Linked DNA regions of Daphnia pulex. The protein of the gene in region 2 purifies or fractionates together with the protein of the main gene of each other region. This does not show direct contact. Links are inferred from orthologs where the notes say so. Each region holds a gene or a part of one and is shown on either strand. Other genes may lie near its edges.

Region 1 (6,865 bases), on a different chromosome or scaffold from region 2:
CCCGAATAAAAGGAAAAAGTCATTCGTCTTCTGCTCGAAATAATCAACGACGTCATGGGGGTTATTTTAAGTATGTACTTGGTCGCGCTCAAATATCTAAACGTGCTACGTTCTACATCTACTAATTGAACGTTATTCTTTCCTTCTTGTTTTTTTTGTGCAGATGAGAGAAGAGAACCTTATTCGTCGAGTCCTTCCTTTGTTCGGGAGGGACTGCGGACGAGTGTAGCCAGCAGTGCGGCTAGCGGCGAGTCCTTCTCCAGTGTATCGGCCTCCGATACGCTGGACGATAGCGAATTGTCTGCTACTACAGTCAACAACAAGTCTCGCAGTGCATCACTGTCCGCACTTGGCGTAAGTTTCTCATTGATATTGATTACCAGCCGTTGACATCTCGATAAATTTCTAAACACAATATATATAGACTCGAAGCGATTCCATGGCCAGCGTCTACTCGGCTGCTGGCGAAGCCCGCTACGGCACAGTAGCTGTCCGTGGTGAGATTCAGTTTGGCCTACATTACAACTATCGCCAAACTGCCCTAGAGGTTTTCGTCAAACAGTGCAAAGACCTAGCACCTGTGGACACCAAACGAAACCGATCAGATCCGTAATGACAATAGCAATCAAGTTCCCTTATCACGAGTTGTCGTTTAACTGTTTTTCTAATCGAATAGGTATGCTAAAGTTTATTTGTTACCTGACCGTTCCAAGAGCGGTAAAAGAAAGACCAAAGTAAAAAAGCACACCCTATCACCAATGTTTGAAGAAAATTTAAAGGTAAGAGTTCGCCTGCTATTAAAGTATTTCAGACTATTTAAATAACCTTTTATTGTATTTTCTCAGTTTACCACCTCTCTTTCCGATTTGGAGAACCGAACACTATGGCTGACTGTCTGGCATAGTGACATGTTTGGTCGCAACGATTTCCTCGGTGAAATCACTTTACCACTTGCCGGGCGAATTTTTGACGACCCAACTCCCCATTGGTATCAACTTCAAGAAAGGGTAATTCATATCTAAAGAAACTTTTGTTGGATCTAGTATCTTTCATTGAACATTCTTTTGGTACAGTCTGAAATGGTAGAGGATCCTGGTGTCATGCCGTTCTACCGCGGCGACATGATTGTTGCGCTCAAGTACATTCCCGGTGAATCCTCTCCCACCAAAAGGACCAAGAAATCTAAAGGAGCTCTACACGTAATTGTTAAAGAGGCCAAGGGCCTCATCCCCGCCAGGCCCAACGGAAACATTGACGCATTGTGTAAAGGGTGAGAATCTGATAATGAAGTGGGAAACGGAAAAGGCTGGTCTATAATCCCAATGTAATTGTTCTTTTTAGGACCCTGATGCCCGAAAAGGGTAAAACGACCAAACACAAGACAAGCATTTGCCGTAGGACATCGAACCCCGTTTGGAATTGCACTTTCATTTTCGATGATGTTGCTCATCAGGAACTGAAAGAACGTGCCCTGGAATTGGATATTTGGAATCACGACCGGTTGGCTACAAAAGAGTTTCTCGGCGGACTCCGACTCAACCTTGGCACCGGTGAGAAATTTGGATAAAACTTTCTCAGTCGCCTTAGGTTTTTTTTTTTTTACTAAAATAATAATAATGTTGCAATTTCTTTTAGGTTTGTTCCAAGGAAAACCGGTCGAGTGGATGGACGCTAGCGGCAAAGAAGTGACGCTCTGGCAGAGTGTCGTTGAACGAGCCGGACTTTGGGTGGAGGGTTCCGTGCCCCTGCGCACAGCGATGGAGCGTCCATCTGGCGAGTGAAACGGCGACGCTACGGGTACATCGAAGCAAAACATATCCAGTCCACGAAGAGTTAACCCCTCCCAACTCCGTCACGCCGAAATAAGTGGACATGACAAAATTAGGCTTTAGAAGAAACGACGATTGAAATATTCCCCCGTGCGAAACATTCCATTCGCAAATAATGTGAAAAGACTAGACTGCATTCCGCGTCCATTATTCCGAAGCCTTAAATTAGAAAATGAAAAACAGCCTCAGCATTCGTCACACACAACTAAAACGAATAACGAGTGAATTGGCTATGCAACGTCGCGAGCTGTTTTTCCTTAATATTCAAGCCTGTTCTTGTTGTACATAATGATGCGAACATGTGGTCGTGCCATTTGCAATATCTTCAACTTCCATCCGTTTTTGCTATGACATTTACATTTCTACTTCCTAATGGAGAATTTATTCTCTCTTCTAACTGATGTTTTCGCCCCTTCAGTTCCCTCACCCTCAACTAGAAAAAACTTTTGTGCCCTTTATCCCGACGTGCGCTCTGTGATGGTGATGAATTTGTTTTTTTTTTCTCAGAATATATTTATGTAAATTTGTGCAATTCCATTGATAGATCTTTGATGTCATTTTACATTTTATTGATCTTTTTTGAGAAGATTTCTTTCAGTGCAAAGTAAGTCATATTAGTTTGTTTTTATCTTCGGTCGTACGAATTAGACAATTTTTAGAAAAGTGCGCGAGAATCCAACGTTTTAACGTTGCTCCATCTTATTTTTAGGAGGTTTGAAAAATCCCTTGGACGTTTTGGTTTTCTTGTGTTGAAATTTTTGCCAGCTGCTCACTCGCCCTTGGCGCGATTCTTCGAAGTTCTTTTGCCATTCTTTGTCCACCTTGGCCTTCTCTTCTGCCTCAATTTCAGTTTCCCTCTTGCGCTTCCTTTCCTCCATATCGCGTTGCTCCAATTCTCTTCGCTTTCGCTCCATGTCAGCGAAGAGCTTGATCGTCATCACATAGACCGCACGGCGGTATCTAGAAATGGATAATAAAGTAAGTGGATAACCTAAAACCCAAAGCAAAACAGAAAAATAGTTCATACTTGACTGGGTCATCTTCATCAATTCGTGTATCCTTTCCTTCTTTCTTCAGTTTTTTCCTTTTCTCGGAAATCTAATTTAAAATAGACAAATTGAATAACATGTAAATTTGATTAGATAATTGAAAGTAGATAATTACTGCAAGATCAGTCATTCCAGTGGCTTCCTCAACAATCTCCAAGCAACGTTTTCTGGTTTTATCATTTTCTAGAATTTTCCAGGCTCGGTTGATAACTACATGGAAAGAATTTATGTTGTTTGTATTTTTAATTTACAATTTAATGTTAAGGTTGTATTTACCTTCAAAGGCTTGTTGTGCACGATCTGCATCATCACTGTTTTTATCAGGGTGAACTAAAATGGATAGCTGGGTCATTCCAAAAACAAGATCAGAAACAGAAATTTCATAGCAATTCATTGGAAAATGTGTACCAACCCTCTTGTATTTCTTTTTAATTTCTTCTACAGGAAGTTCATGGTCAATTTGAAGCACTTCATAAGGGTTGAGATTAAAGTATGATGAACCAGCTCTTAGCAATCGATCAATTTGCTGCTTTGAAGTCAGAACAGAGTCACGTTTTTCAATTTGTTTGACCTGCAATCAAATAAAATGAACCAAAAGTTATGGAATATTCCACAAGTTTATCCTACTAAATATACATAATGAAAAACCATGCTAGATTGTTTACCTCTGTGTAAAACTCCTGAAAGCAATGTTCCACTTTACTGTGATCTAAATCGCTATTCATACTGCCGACCGAAGATTGGCTGTCTATTCCAGCCATTCAAAAGACAAATCTTTGTAAACAAAATTTTATTAAACTAACTAATGAAACGGAACCAAACTAAATTAATCTGTCAAACGATTTTAAGGGGATGGGAAGGCCACTACCAAGTACCAATGCCAAAGTTTAGAAATGCTCTAGTCACCAAATGCGCTACATCAAACGGATGAGACTGATTTATTTTTTAAATTCTTTCAGGCCTTTGCGATATTAGAAAATTTAAATCTACTAACAAGATACTATAATATTATACAAAAATACGAATTAAGTGAAATCAATTTTATAATATTAAACCCGACAAACGGTAACCGTTCGGTGCGCTTCGGTCGCAAGTCAAATGACGACAGTTGTCAGACGTTTCCATCTCTGTTGTTGTCATGGTGGAATGACAACGGCACGTGTTTTGTTTGTATTTGCTTGAACGAGAAATATTTTTTTTTTACTTACTTCACGAATCAAAGTGAAAAAACTTGTTCTCAAGATTTTAGGTTCTAAAGACCAGTCAAATAGTGAAAAAGGTATGCATTTCGTTCCTCGGCACTGCCCTTATCTGAATATTCTGAAATAATTTTCTCTGATTTACCTATCAGGTAGTAACAAAATCCTTTATGTTGATTCTTTTTGCACAAGTGCACTAAAATGCCAGCTAACTGCTGTGTGCCATACTGTGATACTGGTCATGTTAAAAATGGAAAGTTAATCAGACGAGCCATGTTTACAGCTCCTAAAAATGACATTCAGCGTGAAATGTGGGCAAGGATGATTCCAAGAAAAGGCACCCTGAATCCAACAGATAAAGTGTGTTCAATACATTTTGAAGAACATGACATTCACAAAGCAAATAAGTTTATCATTGAAGACAAAGAAGTTTTTCTCCCGATGCTTAATTGGAGGTTGAAACAAAATGCACTTCCTCGAATTTTTCCAGGTATTTGATAGCAAAGTGATGCTTTCTTGTGGTAGTTAACTTTTTCTTTTTTTTAGGATGCCCAAGTAACTTAAACAAATCACCTAAGAAGAGAAAACCTCCCAAGGATAGAAGCAAACCCTCAGTAAAATCAACAAAACTATCTCATGATTCTGTGATCCAGCAAGTATCAGTCACACAAGAAGCAGAAATGAATGGTTCTAATTCCCATCTAAACCTGGTTAATGACAACACAATATCATTACTGTTGCCTTTTCAATTCCCACCCCTTACCAACACCTATTTCAACAAAAAGAAAATTTCTAGTGAAGAGGAACACTCAACCGTAGCTCGCGAAGAATTGCCGTCTGAATCCTTGAACAACTTCTCTTCAAAATCGATTGATGTAAGTGATACTGACCAAGAAGAAGTTATCTTAAACTATATATCAGTTGAAATGAATCCAACGAATGACCGTCCATCATTCGCCAGTCTAATCAGATCTAACACACCAGTAGTGCGTAGTTTACCTCAGCCATTAATGGAGAAAGAAGAGGATATTCCCAGTAATGAAATTGAATTGAACTCGAATCAAGTTCAGGAGCGATCACAGGATATTCATGTAAACATAAGAGAAGTGCGACTTCCTTCTTTATCCTGGGCGTGGATTCAAGTTGAAATACCAAACCGTCCTTCGACAACTAACATGATCTGTGCTGAGAATGTGTATATTGCTGGGAAAGTTCATATTCGAAGAAGTGTAGAAATTGATTTACTCACTGGTGTCGCGTGTTACTCCCTATTTGGTGCATTTCTGGGTCTCGACTCATTGAATACGACATTTTCGTCAGAATCCGAACTATCAGAGTTGCTTCGATGCTACGGAGAAACTAAGTTGTGCCCTGGTTTGCCTGTTTCTCAATTTACTGGCCAGAAGATATCTCCGTTTTCGCTTGGATATCAAGATGGTCAAGTGCTGCGCTCGTCAAGATGTGCTGGAATAGAACCAAATTCCAATCCCTGTAATAACTGTCTATTATTGTTACCAAGAAAAAAGTCGACAGGATAAAGACTAAAGATTAATGAATCTTTATTAATCTTAAGTGGACTGGTACCTCATATAAAACATTGTATTAATCATACTGCTGTCATTACTGTGTCAAGAAATAACCCGCTAAAGTTATGTTCAAATCAAGCGCCGAATGGAAATTCTCTTAAAAACAAAAAAGATAACAATAAACTCAAGGATGGATACCATTTAAGATTTAAGCCACTTTCATTCAAAGTCGTTTGTATGTTTATTCTTTGGTTATTATGTCTTCGATGGATTCTGAACGTATTGAATTTGTGCACCTTCAGTTTATTTCCAGTTTTTTAAAGAACACCTTATTACAGTTATGTGTAATTCCAGACGAAAACCGTTTTCCCCAAACTTGAGGAAGATACCAAAAGCGGAGGCTTCGTCCCATCGAAAACGAGCAGCCTATCGGTGAGCGAGGTGTCAGAAGAAAAAAAAAACCTCGTGTTGAGCAAGGCTAGCACTAATCCAAATTGCATCTGCCACTCCTGATGCCACCGTCCCGGTAGTAATAGAAGGAAATCCTGTGACTACCGACCCCAACTAACAAATCACAATTTCTACTCAATAGTCGACCATCGAGGAAAAAGGGGTAGAGTCGTTGCTAATTTTTATCTACTAAATGTATTTTACGGAGATGGTTACGGGATGGTTATTTTTTCCGTCCGACTCTAGTCGTCCGCGTCCGTGGATGCCAAGTGCTGTCACTAGGTGGCTAAATATTTCAGTGTGTTTAGGGATTGAACTATTCAGCCCTAGTGTGTTGGTATTAGGGGAGGGGAGGGGGCATCAAACCAAAGTTCTGAGACGACTGACTTCCATTTATTTCTTTTCTATCGAGACGCCGTCGAGGATGGTTACGCTAATCATTGCGGGGTACTCTCTTTCCTGATGTGTTCACAACAAGGTAATTCCTGGTTTCATTCTTAATATTAATGTTTTTTATTAATGTTAATTTACGGGTTGCATGGCTTTAAATTTATTCTTGCCAATTCCATGTGGCCATGCCTGTAGTACACTTGTCCAAAATGTCGTCTCTTGCTGCACGTTACACGTTTCGTCGCATGTTGAAGTACTATAGAATAGTACAAGTAATAATATTGAGTAACTTAAAAATAATTTTAAGAGTGTGTTTCCACATTAAAATTCTGGGATTTAATTTCTAATAGAAATTGAGAATTTTTATTATGAATCATCATACATTAGTAATAAATAGTTACACATCATTTGCTTTTCCTGCG
Region 2 (7,768 bases):
CCCATTTGGAATATTCTCACCCGTCGTTCATGTTGATGGAAGATCCGTTCAAATCTTTGTCGATACCTGGATCTAACCCGCTTTACCACCTAGATACCAATAATCGACGAATTTGGGTTCCAGAAGGCTGTTCAGCCCGCGGGAGCGTTATAGCGGATCGTACCAGCATGCCAGGATCAACTGGACTCAGATTGGGTCAAGTGCAAGAAGGAGACGTTTTCATGGCAGCAGATTTTGAAAATGAAGAACTACTTCAACATGCCGTCAGCATTGAGCGTTATCCAAATCCCAGTCGTTGTTGGAGAGGTTCCAATAGCAGCAGAGCTCAGTATGAAAAAGGTCTGAAGGCCCATCGTCTATAGTCTAAATAAATTCAAGCTATTAAATTATTTTTCATTTTGCTATTAGATTACAAGAAATCGGCATGCGATCGGGAACGGACGCGTATGCGAGATATGAATCGAGCATTCGATTCTCTACGTGAAAAATTACCGTACATCAAACCACCAGGGAAAAAATTGTCGAAAATCGAATCCCTCAGGTTGTTTTGGCTTAATCGTTTATGAGCAATAAACATTCGCTTAAAACCTGGATTAACCTTTTTCCTTTTTTTTCAGGTTGGCTATCAAATACATTCGTCATTTGCAATTCTTATTGGCGTCTCCTCCTGGTAGTACAGTTGATTTTGAAGCAACCAACTTTTCTCTGGATCCCTTACCATCCTGGCGTTCTATGGGGTTGTTATCTACTTCTTCTAATGGAGCTTCAACATCGAGCGATATCCGTCCTACAACAAGCAGTAGTTACGATTTCTCATCTTTGTTATTAAGACACAGTCAACATCAGAACGTTGATTTGGGTGCCTCAGGATCTGGGATCGTTAGCATGCAGGATGTTGATCAACCGTTCAAGCATTCGGCCATAGGAGCAGCCCAATTTTCTTGCTCATACGAGGAAACTTCGCCGTTGAATTGGAATCATCAGTCAAATTAGATACCTTGTGCAACCTGTTATAATACTAGTCATTAGACGAAATCAAGGTTAGAGTGCAATACTGGCTAATAATATTTTATACGACTTTCCATCAGCATGTGTTTCGTTTTTTTACCTTCCAAAAGCACGATGACTGCTGCAATTCTTGACGATTCTGTTGCAACATACCAAACATAATAAGGAAATAAAATAACCTATTCTGTAGTTTAATGCTATATAGTTAATACAAACATGCTGTACCGGAATTTCTTCTTTTGTGTGTGGAGGAGATATGTGGCGGTATCTAATAAAAATAGTTTCAAAAACACAATTAAGAACAAATTGTTTATTACAACGGAGCGTGTATTACAAGATTTTTAATGCTTCAAAAGGGATGTTAAAATTTGAACTCTTTGTATTTCTTGGCCTGTTTAGTGTCCGTCTGTTGTTGTTGTCTCTTTCTCTTGCTCTGTTTTTGCAATTACGAAAACATTTTATTAATCAAGTTAATAATCACTGATTTGGATTTACGACTTACCTTCTGCTTGGCGGCATGTTCAGCCACCATGTCACTGAAATCTTCCTTAGCCAAGTTGCCTTGTTGCTCCCGCAATGTTTGTTCATAACGAGCGGCCATTGATTCAGAGTCCAAACCTTCCAACTCGGAGGGATCCAAACTAAGTTCCACACCACCACTACCTATGAAAAATTTAATTGAAAAATCATAATAACAACAAATTAACTAAAAAATGACAAATCTTACTCTTCTGAGTGGTCGTAGCTGAAGCGATATCATATACATGGGTAGATCCCATCATCGCTTGACCGATTCTGTCCGTTCGCTTTTCTGGAAGGACGGTATACAGCTGAGGCGTTTCGTTACTAAATAAGAGTGAAAATAGGAATAATTAAAAATGTAAAGTAGCAGTTGTATAGTAGTTGACACTGGTTACATACCTCTCCATCTCTGCTTCAATCTTTTTCTTTCGTAGCTCAATCATATCTGGTGTTTCCAGACCAGCAGGTACAGATGAGAATCCCGAAGGAGTAGCAAGTCCTTCTGCAGGAGTAACCAGACCTGATTGATCAATGGCGCCTTCTTCGTCCTCTCCTTCTTCCTCTTCACTCTCCTCAACTTCCTCCTCCTCTTCTTCCGATTCAAGTTCACCCCACAAGGTACGATCAACTTCTTCGTCGAGTAAAATTGTCTGAAAAAGAGGCAAAAGTATTCGTGGTTAATAGAATTTGTTATACACAGAGTATGAGATATTTTCTTACATCGCCTGCGATTCCAGTCAATCCAAAAACATCGCCGTACAGAGGCCGCCCGAATTCATCGACAGGAGGTTTTCCCCAACCTCCGGCATGGTAGCCAAAGGAAGAACCATCAGGAATTGGAGCGTTCAATCCTGGAATCTTCAAGTTAGGGTAAGACGGTGGTGGACCATATCTTTGCATGGCAATCAACCAAGGAGGAGGAATTCTTAAAGAAAACGCCATTAACATTAACTACTGTAACACAAAACGGTGTCAAATTAAGAATAGATTCTTACTTGTTTGAACTAGGACCAACAGGCATTCCGAGAGCAGTTCGCAGTTCGTCAGACAACTCTCCGGGTTTTTTGTCTTTCATTCGAGTTTCAAATTCTTTTCCTTCATAGTATAAATCACCCATAATCGTCATCTTGGGTTTGGTTTGCCATTTGAAGAAAGCGTCATGCAACTTTTGATAGTCGATATCAACACGCCCCATCTTGGGTCGAACACGCTCACGCATTTTAGCTTTAAGTGTTTTTGACTCTTCCTTTTCCTGCAAAGCAGCTCGCATTTCCATGATTCCGGTCTTTTTGATGAAATCGGGCAAATTGAAAGGAGGCTTTTCTATTCCACGTTTTCCCTAAAGTACAAAAAAATTTGTTTAAAACGAATTGTTTACCCTTTGTGCATAGTAAAATATACCTGTAAGTACTTGCGCTTCGCACACCAATGTCGAGGAACTGGGACCGAATTTCTGGTTGCTTTCAAAAGAACTAACAGTTTGGGGTCTCTAGCAGTAACGTCGTGCATCTCTACGACGTCTGGTCTGGCAACACATTGCTTCAAATCGGCCACACTTAGTCGAGTAAGTTGTTTTAGTTTTCTTTTTGAAACTTTTGGCTTGTCATCATCAGCATTTTCCTTTTTCTCCTCCAAATCTTCCTCTTCTGCAAACTTGGGGACCTTCTTAAGTTCTAAACTTCTTTGAAGTTCTTTCTTTTTGGCTTCATCTTCTTCAGCTTTCTTTGCAGTTTTTTCATCAATGATTTTAAATGCTTCGAAGATTTTGGCAAACTGTCGGTAGAAAGGATTTTTGTCGTCATAAATGATTTCTTCCTGGACATACTCAATATCCACTTGTGGAGGTTCTTCAGCATCATCATTCCTTTCATTTTCTTCTTCTTCTTCTTTCTGTTGATGTCTCTTAGTGCGCTTCTTCTTCTTTTTCTTCTTTTGATTTCTTTGAGTTTTAGTTTTTTCTTCAAGGTTTTCTTCCCCACCGAAATCATCTTTCCTCTCTTCAATAGTTCCTTCAGTTTCTATAACTGTTTTGACAGGGATTTCATTAACTAAAAAAAAAATAGAAAAGAATAAAGTTCATTCCTGCAAGCGAAACCTTTCATGAAGACTAGAAAATTTATAAAAGTGTTACTCACTAATGTTATCAACCTCTCCAGAGTGGCCCGTTTCTCGTACTCGGTATTCTTTGTAAGCAAGGACTTCTTCAAGTGCTGATGGGAGATGTTCATGGGCGGGAATGTCTTCATCACCTGGAGGAGGTGACATCGGTCTAGCACCTGATCCATACATACCGACAGCATTACCCTGGAAGGACCTTGAAGGATCTCCATACATGTAATTCTCCTGGCCGTAGCCGGGCGGCATGTGATGATCCATGTCAAATTCAACTAAATAACTTTCTGTTTCTAAAGAATAATCACACAATCAAAAGGGTGTTTCAAATCAATAGACAAAATAGACGCGTCCAAGTAAAACACGATGAAGTTTTACGTTAATTTAAAACTGCCTTGAAAGAAACACGATAGCAAAACAAGTTTGTTAGAGAACCAAACGGGTGAAGCGAGTAAACGACGACCAAATGAAGCCGAATCTAAAAGCCATGATCAAATCGTATATTCATTGAGGTACCACAGAAAACCAGCAGATGGCGTTCACGACGCGCCCTAAATTTTTAATAAAGGCTTGTGCACACTATCAACACCAGATGGCAGTCTGATGAATCTTAAATGATTTTTTTTTGTGGTGGCACACTGAGAGAGATGCAGTTGCAGTCAAAACGGTTTCTTAAACCGAAGTGCTCTGAGAGTATTGCTAAAGCGGTGGGAGTGGTGTGATTAGTTAGTTTGTGAACGTATTGTTTTCATTGAGATCGTCCAGTTCATCGCGAGGCCGGTAAGTTTGGCCGATTCTGTTTTGGTGTGTGTTGACAGGCTTTTCGTCGGGGCTTGTTTTCAGTTTCTCATTCAAGGCAGTCTTGGTTGGTTTTCTCTCTGCCCAGAGGTCTACAGCATCAAGTGAAACCGACGGCATTTGTTCTCTCCCCTTTACGTTTGTACATACCTTTTGTAGATTGTTTTTTCCAGCCTATTTGATATTATCGTTTTTCGATGGGAAAATTCTCATCGACAATCACATTTTCGTAAAATCTGATGAGAAACGTTGCGTGTGGCCATTTCACCCCTCTTGAGATTTTTTGGTGTCGGTGAACCGATCAAACGTTGGTAGAAGCTAAAAGAGAAATCAGTTTCATTATCAACAACCCTGATGTGAGATGTGCCTGTGAGCCGGATCGATAAGAGACTTTCATCACACAGGCCGTGTAGCAACTTCACTAGGTCTCTCTCAGACTCTCACGCCATTACGTATACACGTTGACATTCTTTCCACGAAGCCATTACCGTTTCTTTTTCTCTCCTTGTCTCTCATATACGTTTACGGTTTTATTTTTTCTTTTTTTTGACGATGAGTGAAAGAGTCGGCCTTTTTCGCCATAGGGCATTGTTGATCCAGGGTCAGTGCAACCGCAAGGCCAAGAAACTAACCAATTTGGTTGCTTTTCCCACTTTGAAGATTGTGTGTGTGTGTGCTGCAGCTAGTAGTAGTATATTTATTATCAGTAGATTATTAAGCAACCCTTGTCCTCTAACCGTCTGCTGACATGCTTATCGATATATCATTTGCAGACGAGGTAACTTCATTTATTGATTCGACCCTTGGCTGGCTTTGAACAAAGGTAAATCATGAACGTAATCTACCTTGCCCTGCATTGATATCGTGTTGGTTTCTATGACATGAAAGAGAAAGTGATGGCCACATCACGTTGATGTTTGCCGGACGTATCACAGGACTAACTGATAAAAGCAAAGTGTCCTTCAACGACGTAGGGCTCTCTCATGTGGTTCGTTCACCTCCTCTGTTGCGGGTCCATTCATATTCATGTATGCAATAACCCCCGTACGAGATGTGATCCGTCACCATAGATGCCATCATCGGGAAAAAACAATTTCGATGAAGCCCATCTCTTGTTATTATTATTTTCGATGCTAACCCCGAGACTGTAGGAATCGGCTGCTACCTTTTTTGTCTAGCTGGAAAGAAGAGAGAAATAAGTCAGTAAAAAGGTAGAAGAAAAGACAGAAAAGAAGGAGGGAGTTCAAAGATGGCCTCGAGCTGAACAAGCATGAAGGCCAAAGCCTCATGTTACATACCTATGGCAACACGAAGGGAGCCAACCACGGTCGCATGCGTCTATATACCTGGTCGGGACTACATTCCACTCTTTGGCAGTAGTTTGCTTGGGTTTCTCACGTCACGGGCGCCATTTTGATGGTCCGCCTTGCTGGGGAACGTTCGCTTGTTGTTATAGTCTGCTCCTCCAGCAGCTTCGCGGTCGTTCTCATCGATTTCCCTCCCGACGTGATTCAACTGGACAGACGTTTTGCGTCCGTTTTACGCCATTTCGTTTCTGTGTTTTACGGCCGAGTGTGATCTTTTTTAAGAGTGAACTAGATTGTGACTACTGTGTGTGACGTGTGTTTGCACGTGCGGAATCGTTTGTGCAACCCAAAGAAATAAGACGGAAATATTTGCTCGTCTTTCTGTTTTACCGGAATGGCAACTGGGCGGATATCTCTTATTTTCTGACTTTACGGGTCGCCGGTGCCGGCGTAATGGAAACCGGCCGTGTGACGACGCACGAATTTAATTCGCACGGATCTTGATGCACATCTAGTTTTTCGTTCATCTACAAAATATCCAACAAAAAACTCTTTTACATTTTATTTTGCACACATTGCACCACCAAATCTTAATTTAAAAAAAAACCAAAACATGGGCAACGCCCATTCTGCTCTTCCGCACGATCCGCTCGAATCGGCCGTAACCCATCCGATCGCTCCGGTGGCCAATGAAATCGACAAGGTGATCGGGTCTCTTATATTTTAATTCCTGCTTAACATTTGACCGTGGCCAACTCGATTTGGTCGAATCAAGGAAACTTTCTAAGAATGTATCGGGTAATTTTAGTTGAGGAAGCAAAAGGTTAAAAAAGATTGGAATGTGGGCTAGGTTGGGTCTCGGAGCGTGTAACACGTTGCGTCTTACCTGGGGCGTAGCGATGACCTGTTGCCCTCTGGCGTTAGCTGACGTGTGAAGCGACGTCACGCCCCCCTTTCCTCTGAGGCTCCAGCTCCTCCTCTTTGATCTTGCCATGTTTTTCTTTTTCACGTGTGTGTGTGTGTCTGTCGTTTCCCGAACGGAGATGCCCTATTCTTTTATTATCTCACAAGTTGCTGTTTATTCTTTGGGTAATAATCAAGATTCGGTCGAAAGAATATCTCTCTTGGCAATGGCGCGCCGTCTCGACGTGCCCGCGCTTGAGAAACAATCGATAATATTCGGGGCGTGTGGGTTCTCGTTTCTTTCGTTAATTTTTTATTATTCCACCGAGGTACCGTACTCTTCAGGGCATGATTCATTGCGTGCGTTTGCGAAAGCGTAACGGGATAGTTGCGCTAACTGAACGAATTTGCCGTTATGTTGCAACGTTAATTTCTCCATGAAACGGCTGGAATGGCCGGAATTCGGGTTGGACCCGACACCATTGCAGATCGCGGCGTCTCTAATATTTTGCTTCGGTTTTTCTTATTGCAGGCTGAGAAGAGCGAGACCAAGGAGAGCGGACGCCATAAGAGGATGGAGCGATTGCGGAGAAGCTTCCGCGAAAGTTTCCGTCGCCGCAAAGACCACGTCCCCGAGAGTTCAAAACCGCACCAATGGCAGTCGGACGAGGCTGCCGTTCGAGCTGGAACTTGCAATTTTTACGTCAAGGTTCGTGAGCACGTTATATACATTGTGCAGGACGTATATTTTTGTTGTTGACGTTTGGCAGGAATCCACGTGGTTCTATTTATTTGCGATTCGCTCACCTTTTTGAATTTTTATTTTTTCCAGTATCTGGGATGCGTGGAAGTGTACGAGTCACGTGGTATGCCTGTTTGCGAGGAAGCACTCAAAGTGCTCAGGGTAAAATATTCATTTCCATTGAAACGATGATGACAAAATATTCCACATTTATTTATTTATTCATTCCCAAAACAGAATTCTAGACGTCGACCAGTAAAAGGCGTTCTGCACATTTCCGGCGATGGATTACGAGTTGTCGAAGAAGACACCAAAGTATGAAATTTCCGTTGATTTCGTCACCGACATCTTAGACTCACTTTTCTCTCTATTGCAT
Region 3 (7,768 bases), on a different chromosome or scaffold from region 2:
CAAACTGGGTTGATGTGAGGTGTTGAGGCCAAATTGACTGGCTGCTCTAAAGTCAAAACAGCGATGTCGTTCTGCAGGTTGGCACGGTTGAAAAATGGATTCACTTTGACGCGGGTTACGCCCAATTCGACGTATTTCAGAGGCTCGACATTAGCTTTAGCGTCCCATTCTCCTAGCCTAACCTTCAGGCCAGTTCCAGCACTATAAATTTTAGAAAAGAAAAGAGTCAGTCAGAATTTTAGCATATCAAATTTTAATCAAAATTCTTACCCAAAGTTAGCGACTTTGTGGGCGGCTGTAACAACGTGTCGAGGGCTGACCAACACACCACCTCCGACATAGTTGTTGTTTGGACCTAAAATAACAACCATCCTACAGGGAAAATAAACAATTAATCAACATTTTCTTTATAACATCATACTCCTTTGTAATTGAAGGAATGCTTTCTCACCATGGGAATTCGCCAAATTTAGCCTAAAGAGAAAAATAGTTATAGTTTTCAAATTTCTGATAAATCATTACTGATCAGTTATTACCTGAGTAGTGTCTAAATTGTATCCAGGAGTAGGGATAATATTTGATCGTCCGCAACTTCCTTGCACTGGGGCAGCAGGTGGAGCAACAGGGAATGGATTATTTGCGACGCAGCAATATTGGAATGAATTCTGGCAACGAACTCCAGCTGGCTAAAAATTGAACAGATTCTTACAATAACCGTTTTTATTCCTCTGTCTAGAATTTAATATTCTCGCTTACCTTATTGACGATGCGCACGTCGATGAGGCCGGCACCGTCCGTATTGACAGGTGGGATATTGTTAGGGGGAGGTTGCGAATGTCCAGGTATGGGTGGGGGAGGGAGTGGTCCGGAGCCAGGTGGTGGAAGAGGAATATTTCCCGGTGCAGGATTGGCGCATTTCCCTACAGGAACGCACAAGCACTGACCAGACTGTTTTCCAGAAACATCTTCTTCGGGAATGTAAGGATTGGGTTTTAGAGCTGGATCTTTCTTCTGTTCACCAATAGGAGCTGAACCGGGGACAGCTTCTAGATCTACAAATAAAAACATATTAAATTAGGCTTATAGAATTCGTACTATCTCATAAACGAAAAATGGGAAATCAAATTATTAATTTACTGAGATAGCCGGCGAGAAGACCTAGACGAGTGTGGACCAACTCATCGTCAGTACCCAACGCATCTACAGACGTGTTGGGTAAATCTACAGGAACTGGCTCTTCCTCTTCCCCAAATGAAATTTGTGGCTTGGCTACCACCGACGACACAAAGACAACGAATACTAACGCAGCACTTACTTTCATTCTGTCTAAATAAATGATTATGAAAATGTTGTTGTTAATAATTTTTAAAAAAGATATTTAGCACTTAAAGTTGTCTTACCTCGAGTTCAAGTTCTCTTAGAAGAAACTTGTTGAATGATCTGACTCTGGCTGTTGCTTTATATACTGGCTGATTTATCCTCCAGCACACACTGTTAACACAAGAGACCAGCTAGTTACCAACTCCTGGAACCAATAGAAACTGGTTTTTCAGTTGGAGGGTCACGTGACTTTGTCGGGATTTCCCAAGGTGAGTGTACACGTTATTTTTTTTCCCTCTCGGCTCATCAGGTGATTTAATTTAGGTTGTTCAACCATGTGTGCGGTTCACTTATAAAGCCTTTGTTATCATCAACCGGATGTGCCAATAGCTAAATGACGAGTCATTTCCATATGGCATTTGCTTTACTATTTGTTGTAGTTGCATTAGGCTGCATGCGTATATTTCGAATCAATATTATCGCTTTATAGTTTGAGGTTCTCCGGTTTCCCCTCATCCTTCCCCAGTTTTTTCCTCAAGGCTATTTTTTGGAGAGAAAGCAGTCAGTCAAGCTCAAGGTCTTTTTTAGCTTCTGCTAACACACCTTGGCACCGCAAACCCAAGTGTAGAGCCATCAACCGGTCATCAGCAAAAAAAAAAAATTTGGCGGAATTGTTTTAAATTTAAGTTTAAAAAAAAATTTTGGGAGAGAATATATGAGCAATAGAGCAAAATTGTTCGTTAATTGCAAGATTAGATAAGTTTTGGGTTACCTGAATGAGCTGTATGAATTTCGACACACAATAGTTAATTCGTTTTGTAATCAAAATTTCCCATTCATTTGACACGTGCATAGAAAAAAATGTCGTTCTTTTATTGTATTCAGGGATAATGGAAAGGGAAATTAGGATACACGATACATGCATATACTAGCCAAAACTGCAATGTAATATGGAAAAACCCAACGTCACTATCGAGTTGTACCCAAAATGAAAATTTCCCAAACTAGAAATAACAAAATAACGGAATGCTTTTGATGTTCTGTAAGCATGTATATTATATAAGTTGGAAAACCCTTTCATGTGGATCTGTTTTGTTTCGGCCGGGACTTAGGCCATGCACGGAAATTTACAATTAGTACAATTAACAGAACATAACGTTATATTTAACGAGGTATTAGTGAAAACTTCCGCTATTAAACAGTTATTGTGTAAAACAATGAAACTTTAGGGATAATGAGTATTAAATTAGGAAAAATTTTACGGTGATTCCATTATAATTTCTTCTGATTTTAAATTACCCTAGTAACAAAAAGTGGTGATGTTGAATATTTTTGGGACTTTCGCTATACAATAAATTGTGATTTCTTGTTCCTTTCTGTAATAATGTTTAAACGCAATTTTATGCAAGAATAATCAAGAAAGATTCGACAATGGAATACGACGATATTGGAGTCCATTCAATTTCACGGTGACATCAAACAATGGAATTTATCATCCCTGTAATAAGGCTGTAACAAATTTTACATGTTTTGGGGCCGATGGCTCGCGTGTTGCCCTCATGCGCATTTTCTTCTCCACCAGATTTGATCCTACTGACTGCCGGCCTCGCCTGTTACACAATGTAATAAACATTTGTGACAATTGGGTGCAGTTTTACGACATATACTACATGTTTTTTTCCTAACGCGAAAATCAACGAAATTTTAGTTGTCATATTCATATACTCATGACTCATGTTGGCGATGTGCCGATTGGCCGATCTGATTCTGTGTTATGTTATTCCTCGACCAAAAAAGAAAAATAATAATGATTGGCATCGCTGTTTTGGCCGATGCGAGCTGGAATCGGCTGAAATAGTATGAAGTGCTTGTGGGATGGATTGATCGAAATATAATTAAACCTTCTATGACGTGAAATTATAAGAAGATACTCAACTTCTTTTTAACATTCTTGCAACATTAGTGTATTGTGTCAAAATGGCCAAAAGAGGACTGTCTCGTAAAGAACTCGAAGAAATCAAGAAGCGCGAAGAAATTGAAGCTGCTGCTGAGGTGATACACATTTGTTTGGAGAAGCTGAACTTCAAATAATTCAATATTATTGTTCATTGGATTTATTATTAGGTATTTGAGGAGTTTGTAGCCACATTTCAAGAAGATGCCAGCAAAGTCAGTAAAGTTTGGGTCAAAGCGGGTACCTATGATGCTGGTCAAAGAAGTAACAGATTACACATTTAATGCTATAATATAGCCATTTTTCTTAATATTTTCATTTTAATTTGCAGAGGAAGATGCCAAAGATAAAGGCAAATTGTATAAACCAACATCTAAATTGGCGAGCTTAGCAGAATCTTTCTCCACAAGATCCAAGGCAAATGAATCTAAGGAATCTAAAGAATCAAAAGATAAAAGTTTACAAAAAAAGGAGAAGAAAAAGAGCAATCTTGAGATGTTCAAAGAGGAACTCAGAGTGTAAAACTAGATTATTCTCTTATTTAAAAAATAATGTTACAATTAAATTTTCTTACAGTATCCAAGAAGAAAGAGAGGAACGACACAAAGTTAAAGCTCACTTGAAACCAAGTCGCTTTGAGCCTGTCAATGTGAGTTCTCCAAGTACTAGCAAAAGCTCTCTTGCTCTTGGATCAATCTTGATAGGTATGTAAATTGTAATTGCATTTTGTAGCAAATTTGTCACACTTTTTTTGTTTCAGAAGAAAAGACAGGATCATTTGATGTAGGAGATCCCAATACCACTAACATTTATTTAGGCAATATCAACCCTAAGGCAAGTTTTAAATAAATCATGTTTTTATCAACTTTATTAACATAAATTTAATGTCCCTTGCAGATGACAGAACAACAATTGATGGACACATTTGGAAAATATGGACCTTTAGCCAGCGTAAAAATCATGTGGCCTCGAACTGAGGAAGAGAAAGCAAGGAATCGAAATTGCGGATTCGTAGCCTTTATGTGCCGAAAAGACGCAGAGAGAGCGATGAAAAAATTAAACGGTTTGACAGTTTATATTCCGTTTTTTGCATCGATGCATTTATATCAAATGTTTATTTTTCAACAGGTAAAGATATTCTGTCTTTTGAAATGAAACTCGGATGGGGGAAGGCCTTGCCAATTCCTGCTCGACCGATTTACATACCGCCAGCATTACTTGAAAAAACGCTTCCTCCACCACCAACCGGCTTGCCTTTTAATGCAATACCCTCCCCACAAGATATTGATCAGGTATGGCTGGTATGCAGTACCTTAGATGTTCTTTCAAACATAATTGAAATTAATATTTCCCTTGTCACAGATCCCGCCACCCGGAACACCCTACCCAACACACGGCGAGGCGTTGGAGAACTTCAACAAGGTATTGGGGGATGGGCTAAGCTATTTCAATCAACCCAGCAATATGACTGACACAAGACTCGAGACTTTTTATCCGCCTGTTCCGGCATTGTTACTCATGGTCGGCGGATAAAAAGAAGCGAGTGCTTTGTGTGCGGTCGCTTCGTTGGGAGGTCTCATCTTTTCTATTTGTGTTCTTCGGCGGAAAGCGATGAAACCCAGCCAAAAATTTGTTTTCATGCGTTGCATTCGTTTGGCTAGTGAAGACCGTTGTTCGTGTCTCACTGCTCTCATACTATTGTGTGTTTGGAAATATGTTGATGTTTCACCCGGGTTTGCTGCTTCTCTCGCAGATTATATCCAGGGCTGTTGTCAAAGTGGTTATCCCTACAGACAGGTATGTAACAAAGATCAAGCCTCATAATACCTTGAAGCTGCGCGGCTGTGTGACATTACCCTGCTCCCTCCGAGCCCCAGGGAGTATACACGTTTTGTCACGAAGGAACAACACATTGTTCTTTTCATTCTTCCAATGCGACTATTCCTTAAGTCTTATTTAATTCCTTTGTAAACTTTTAACTAACACTCGGAATGCTTGACCAAAAAAAAAAAGAAAGAAATTTTGCTTTTTCAATTGACCCACTTCTTTTAAATCATCGAACAAAATTTTTTAAGTCGGTAGCTAATCTTAACATTTTCATTTTTATCACCACGTAAATCTGTACGATTGACATTTGTGCGTGTCATACGTATGTTGAACTTGGTTTTCTGGAACTGGCGTACACAGAAATTTGTTGTGTTTGATTCATCGAATGATCGAATCTGTTGTTCGAGAGGGCCCAATGCTTGAGGCCATGGTGATGAACAAGGAAATTGATAACCAGCAATTCAGGTACCTAAATTGTCTTTTCTAAAAATGTTGTTGGATAGTAATTATTATTTCTTTTTTACTTTTGCAATCAGGTTTCTATTTGAAAACCGGAGTCCAGCTCACATTTACTATCGCTGGAAATTGTTCTCAATCCTACAAGGCGAGTCTGGTAATGTGTGGTCCACAGAAGACTTTCGCATGTTTAAAGGTAAAATTTCTTTTTATTCTGTAAATTATCCAGCGCTCATTTTTAAAAATTAATAGGCGGTTCCATCTGGAAACCCCCGTCTATGAACCCGTTTTCTGAGGGCATGCCAGACGAACTTTTCTCGTCCGACGAGGAAGATGATGAGAGTCGCCGACGATCGCTCAGCAAATCGTATTTACTACAATTATTTTTTCTAATTCATTAAGCAATTCTAATTTACGTTCAAATCCATAGTCAAAAGAAACGACTAGAATTGATGTTGAGAAAATTGACTCCTGAAAAATCCAAAGTAGCGGAAGCTATGATTTTTTGCATCGAGCACGCCGAAGCTTACGAGGAAATCATCGATTTCGTTACCGAGTCACTCAATAGTGTCAAAACCTATATTCCTCAAAAGGTAATTTAAGTCGTGACTTCCAAGTTGGAAGAAACCTACTTAATTTAATCTTGTTTTTGTTTTTTTCAGTTGGGAAGATTTTTTTTGGTATCAGACGTCCTTTACAACTCGTCTGCAAAGGCGGTCAATGCTTCCAGTTTCCGTTCGGGATTCCAGTCACACATGGTGGAAATAGTCAATTATATGCATCAAGCGTACGAGGCGACCGAGAGCCGATTGAAAGCCGAAGCTTTTCGACAACGAGTTATGCTCTGCTTTCGAGCTTGGGAAGAATGGAATGTCTATCCAGCCGAATTCCTCATTCATTTGCAAAATGTCTTTCTGGGCCTTGTCTCTGTAAGTTTTTTTTTTTTTCTATTTTTAAATCTTTCCAACACTTCATTAATTATTTTGATTTCTTTAAAGGCCGATCAAGATGTTTCTCAACGGACTTCAGGCAACGTTGAAGACGTCGACGGCATTCCACTTGACGATGCAGAAGCAATCGACGGAGCTCCACTCAGTGATTCCGAAGATTTGGATGGTTTATTTCAAATACAAGTTTTTGAAGTACAAGTAATTTAATAATTTTTTCTTTTTTCAGGTGTACCTTTGGACGGTGCGGCTCTTTTGAGGAGTGCAGTCAAACTCCAAACTAGTTCTCCAGCTCGTTCATTTACAGTTACGAAATCAAACAAATATGACGCTGATTTTGATGGAGTGCCTAGTAAAATTGATTTTTATAATAATTAATTAATTCACCTATTAAAATTTTTATAAATGTTATTAGTGTCTGAAGATTTGGACGGAGTCCCGATAAAAAGCTCGTCTTCACCGGTAGTGCGAAGAGACCGGAGACGTGAAACTAAGTCATCATCAACTTCCAAATGGGAAACACCGGCGCCGGTTGTAGCCACTAGCAAGTGGGACAATATCGACCCCGATTCAGAGTCAAATGAGCCGTCAAGAAAAAAGAGTAGAGCCAAACATAATGAGGACATCTTTGCGGATCTGGAGAGCACTAAACAAAGAGGAGCTGCTTCAGATGAAGATCTCGACGGTGCGCCCCTTGACTCGTCACCAGAGGCAACGCGACACAGCTCCGGTTCTAGGTAGTAATTGTTAATTACAATACATTTTGCTTGACCGACTCCCAATTTTGTCTGAATGTTTTAGGAATGAGGATCAACGTGGGAAACTGCGAGAGCTTGAACTGAAAGTCGTTCGCTACCAAGATGAACTCGAAGCCGGACTACATAATCAGATTCCGGGCATGTCAGTTTCAGAACAAGTTCAACAATACCGCGAACATCTTTTACGCAAGGTTAAAAAGAATAGATTCTTTATATCTAATACTTGGTATAAATTGGCGATGTTAATCACTGGTTCCCTTCTTTGATTTCGTGTTACAGTCAAAACGGGATCGTTCCCAAGAAACAGTTGACGGTCGAGATCGCGAATCTAGAGAACGGCGCACGCCTCACAGTACCGAGAAATCAGATCGTGGTTCTGGTCGACAGGCAACTGACAGGGAACGTTATAAAGAAAAAGATAGACGACGTTCAATTTCCAGATCAAGGTCTCGTTCCAGATCGCCAAGAAAGTAAGTCGAAACTTCGTTTGACATTTGAACACGCCC

Evidence for each region.
Region 1: the proteins of splicing factor 3B subunit 2-like (region 2) and dnaJ homolog subfamily C member 8-like purify together in Homo sapiens (affinity purification with mass spectrometry; 3 studies listed by BioGRID and IntAct, with this or other methods). This does not show direct contact. The link is inferred for Daphnia pulex from reciprocal best matches to the Homo sapiens genes SF3B2 and DNAJC8.
Region 3: the proteins of splicing factor 3B subunit 2-like (region 2) and U2 snRNP-associated SURP motif-containing protein-like purify together in Homo sapiens (affinity purification with mass spectrometry; 3 studies listed by BioGRID and IntAct, with this or other methods). This does not show direct contact. The link is inferred for Daphnia pulex from reciprocal best matches to the Homo sapiens genes SF3B2 and U2SURP.

What each region holds. Positions count from the first base shown.
Region 1 is NC_060019.1:13,009,411-13,016,275, forward strand, and holds dnaJ homolog subfamily C member 8-like, read right to left. Parts: upstream 3,774-6,865; 5' UTR 3,640-3,773; coding exon 3,544-3,639; intron 3,450-3,543; coding exon 3,291-3,449; intron 3,222-3,290; coding exon 3,155-3,221; intron 3,089-3,154; coding exon 2,994-3,088; intron 2,928-2,993; coding exon 2,857-2,927; intron 2,790-2,856; coding exon 2,513-2,789; 3' UTR 2,382-2,512; downstream 1-2,381. Other genes in the region: uncharacterized protein LOC124190211, read left to right, coding at 164-354, 425-609, 677-779, 846-1,007, 1,074-1,270, 1,342-1,550, 1,636-1,781; uncharacterized protein LOC124190213, read left to right, coding at 4,279-4,567, 4,624-5,615. UniProt on the Homo sapiens protein: Suppresses polyglutamine (polyQ) aggregation of ATXN3 in neuronal cells.
Region 2 is NC_060020.1:5,122,696-5,130,463, reverse strand, and holds splicing factor 3B subunit 2-like, read right to left. Parts: upstream 4,147-7,768; 5' UTR 3,907-4,146; coding exon 3,666-3,906; intron 3,579-3,665; coding exon 2,932-3,578; intron 2,870-2,931; coding exon 2,526-2,869; intron 2,456-2,525; coding exon 2,251-2,455; intron 2,181-2,250; coding exon 1,930-2,180; intron 1,855-1,929; coding exon 1,736-1,854; intron 1,672-1,735; coding exon 1,511-1,671; intron 1,442-1,510; coding exon 1,370-1,441; 3' UTR 1,304-1,369; downstream 1-1,303. Other genes in the region: uncharacterized protein LOC124192101, read left to right, coding at 1-339, 409-541, 618-993; protein numb-like, read left to right, coding at 6,361-6,450, 7,183-7,359, 7,483-7,554, 7,630-7,707. UniProt on the Homo sapiens protein: Component of the 17S U2 SnRNP complex of the spliceosome, a large ribonucleoprotein complex that removes introns from transcribed pre-mRNAs.
Region 3 is NC_060023.1:3,569,571-3,577,338, forward strand, and holds the start of U2 snRNP-associated SURP motif-containing protein-like, read left to right. Parts: upstream 1-3,137; 5' UTR 3,138-3,297; coding exon 3,298-3,372; intron 3,373-3,444; coding exon 3,445-3,538; intron 3,539-3,605; coding exon 3,606-3,792; intron 3,793-3,850; coding exon 3,851-3,978; intron 3,979-4,034; coding exon 4,035-4,108; intron 4,109-4,171; coding exon 4,172-4,337; intron 4,338-4,402; coding exon 4,403-4,566; intron 4,567-4,636; coding exon 4,637-4,696; intron 4,697-5,027; coding exon 5,028-5,071; intron 5,072-5,461; coding exon 5,462-5,566; intron 5,567-5,637; coding exon 5,638-5,753; intron 5,754-5,809; coding exon 5,810-5,924; intron 5,925-5,987; coding exon 5,988-6,150; intron 6,151-6,219; coding exon 6,220-6,486; intron 6,487-6,555; coding exon 6,556-6,673; intron 6,674-6,733; coding exon 6,734-6,856; intron 6,857-6,919; coding exon 6,920-7,241; intron 7,242-7,305; coding exon 7,306-7,453; intron 7,454-7,541; coding exon 7,542-7,732; intron 7,733-7,768. Other genes in the region: phenoloxidase-activating factor 2-like, read right to left, coding at 1-201, 271-372, 452-474, 537-686, 757-1,052, 1,138-1,321.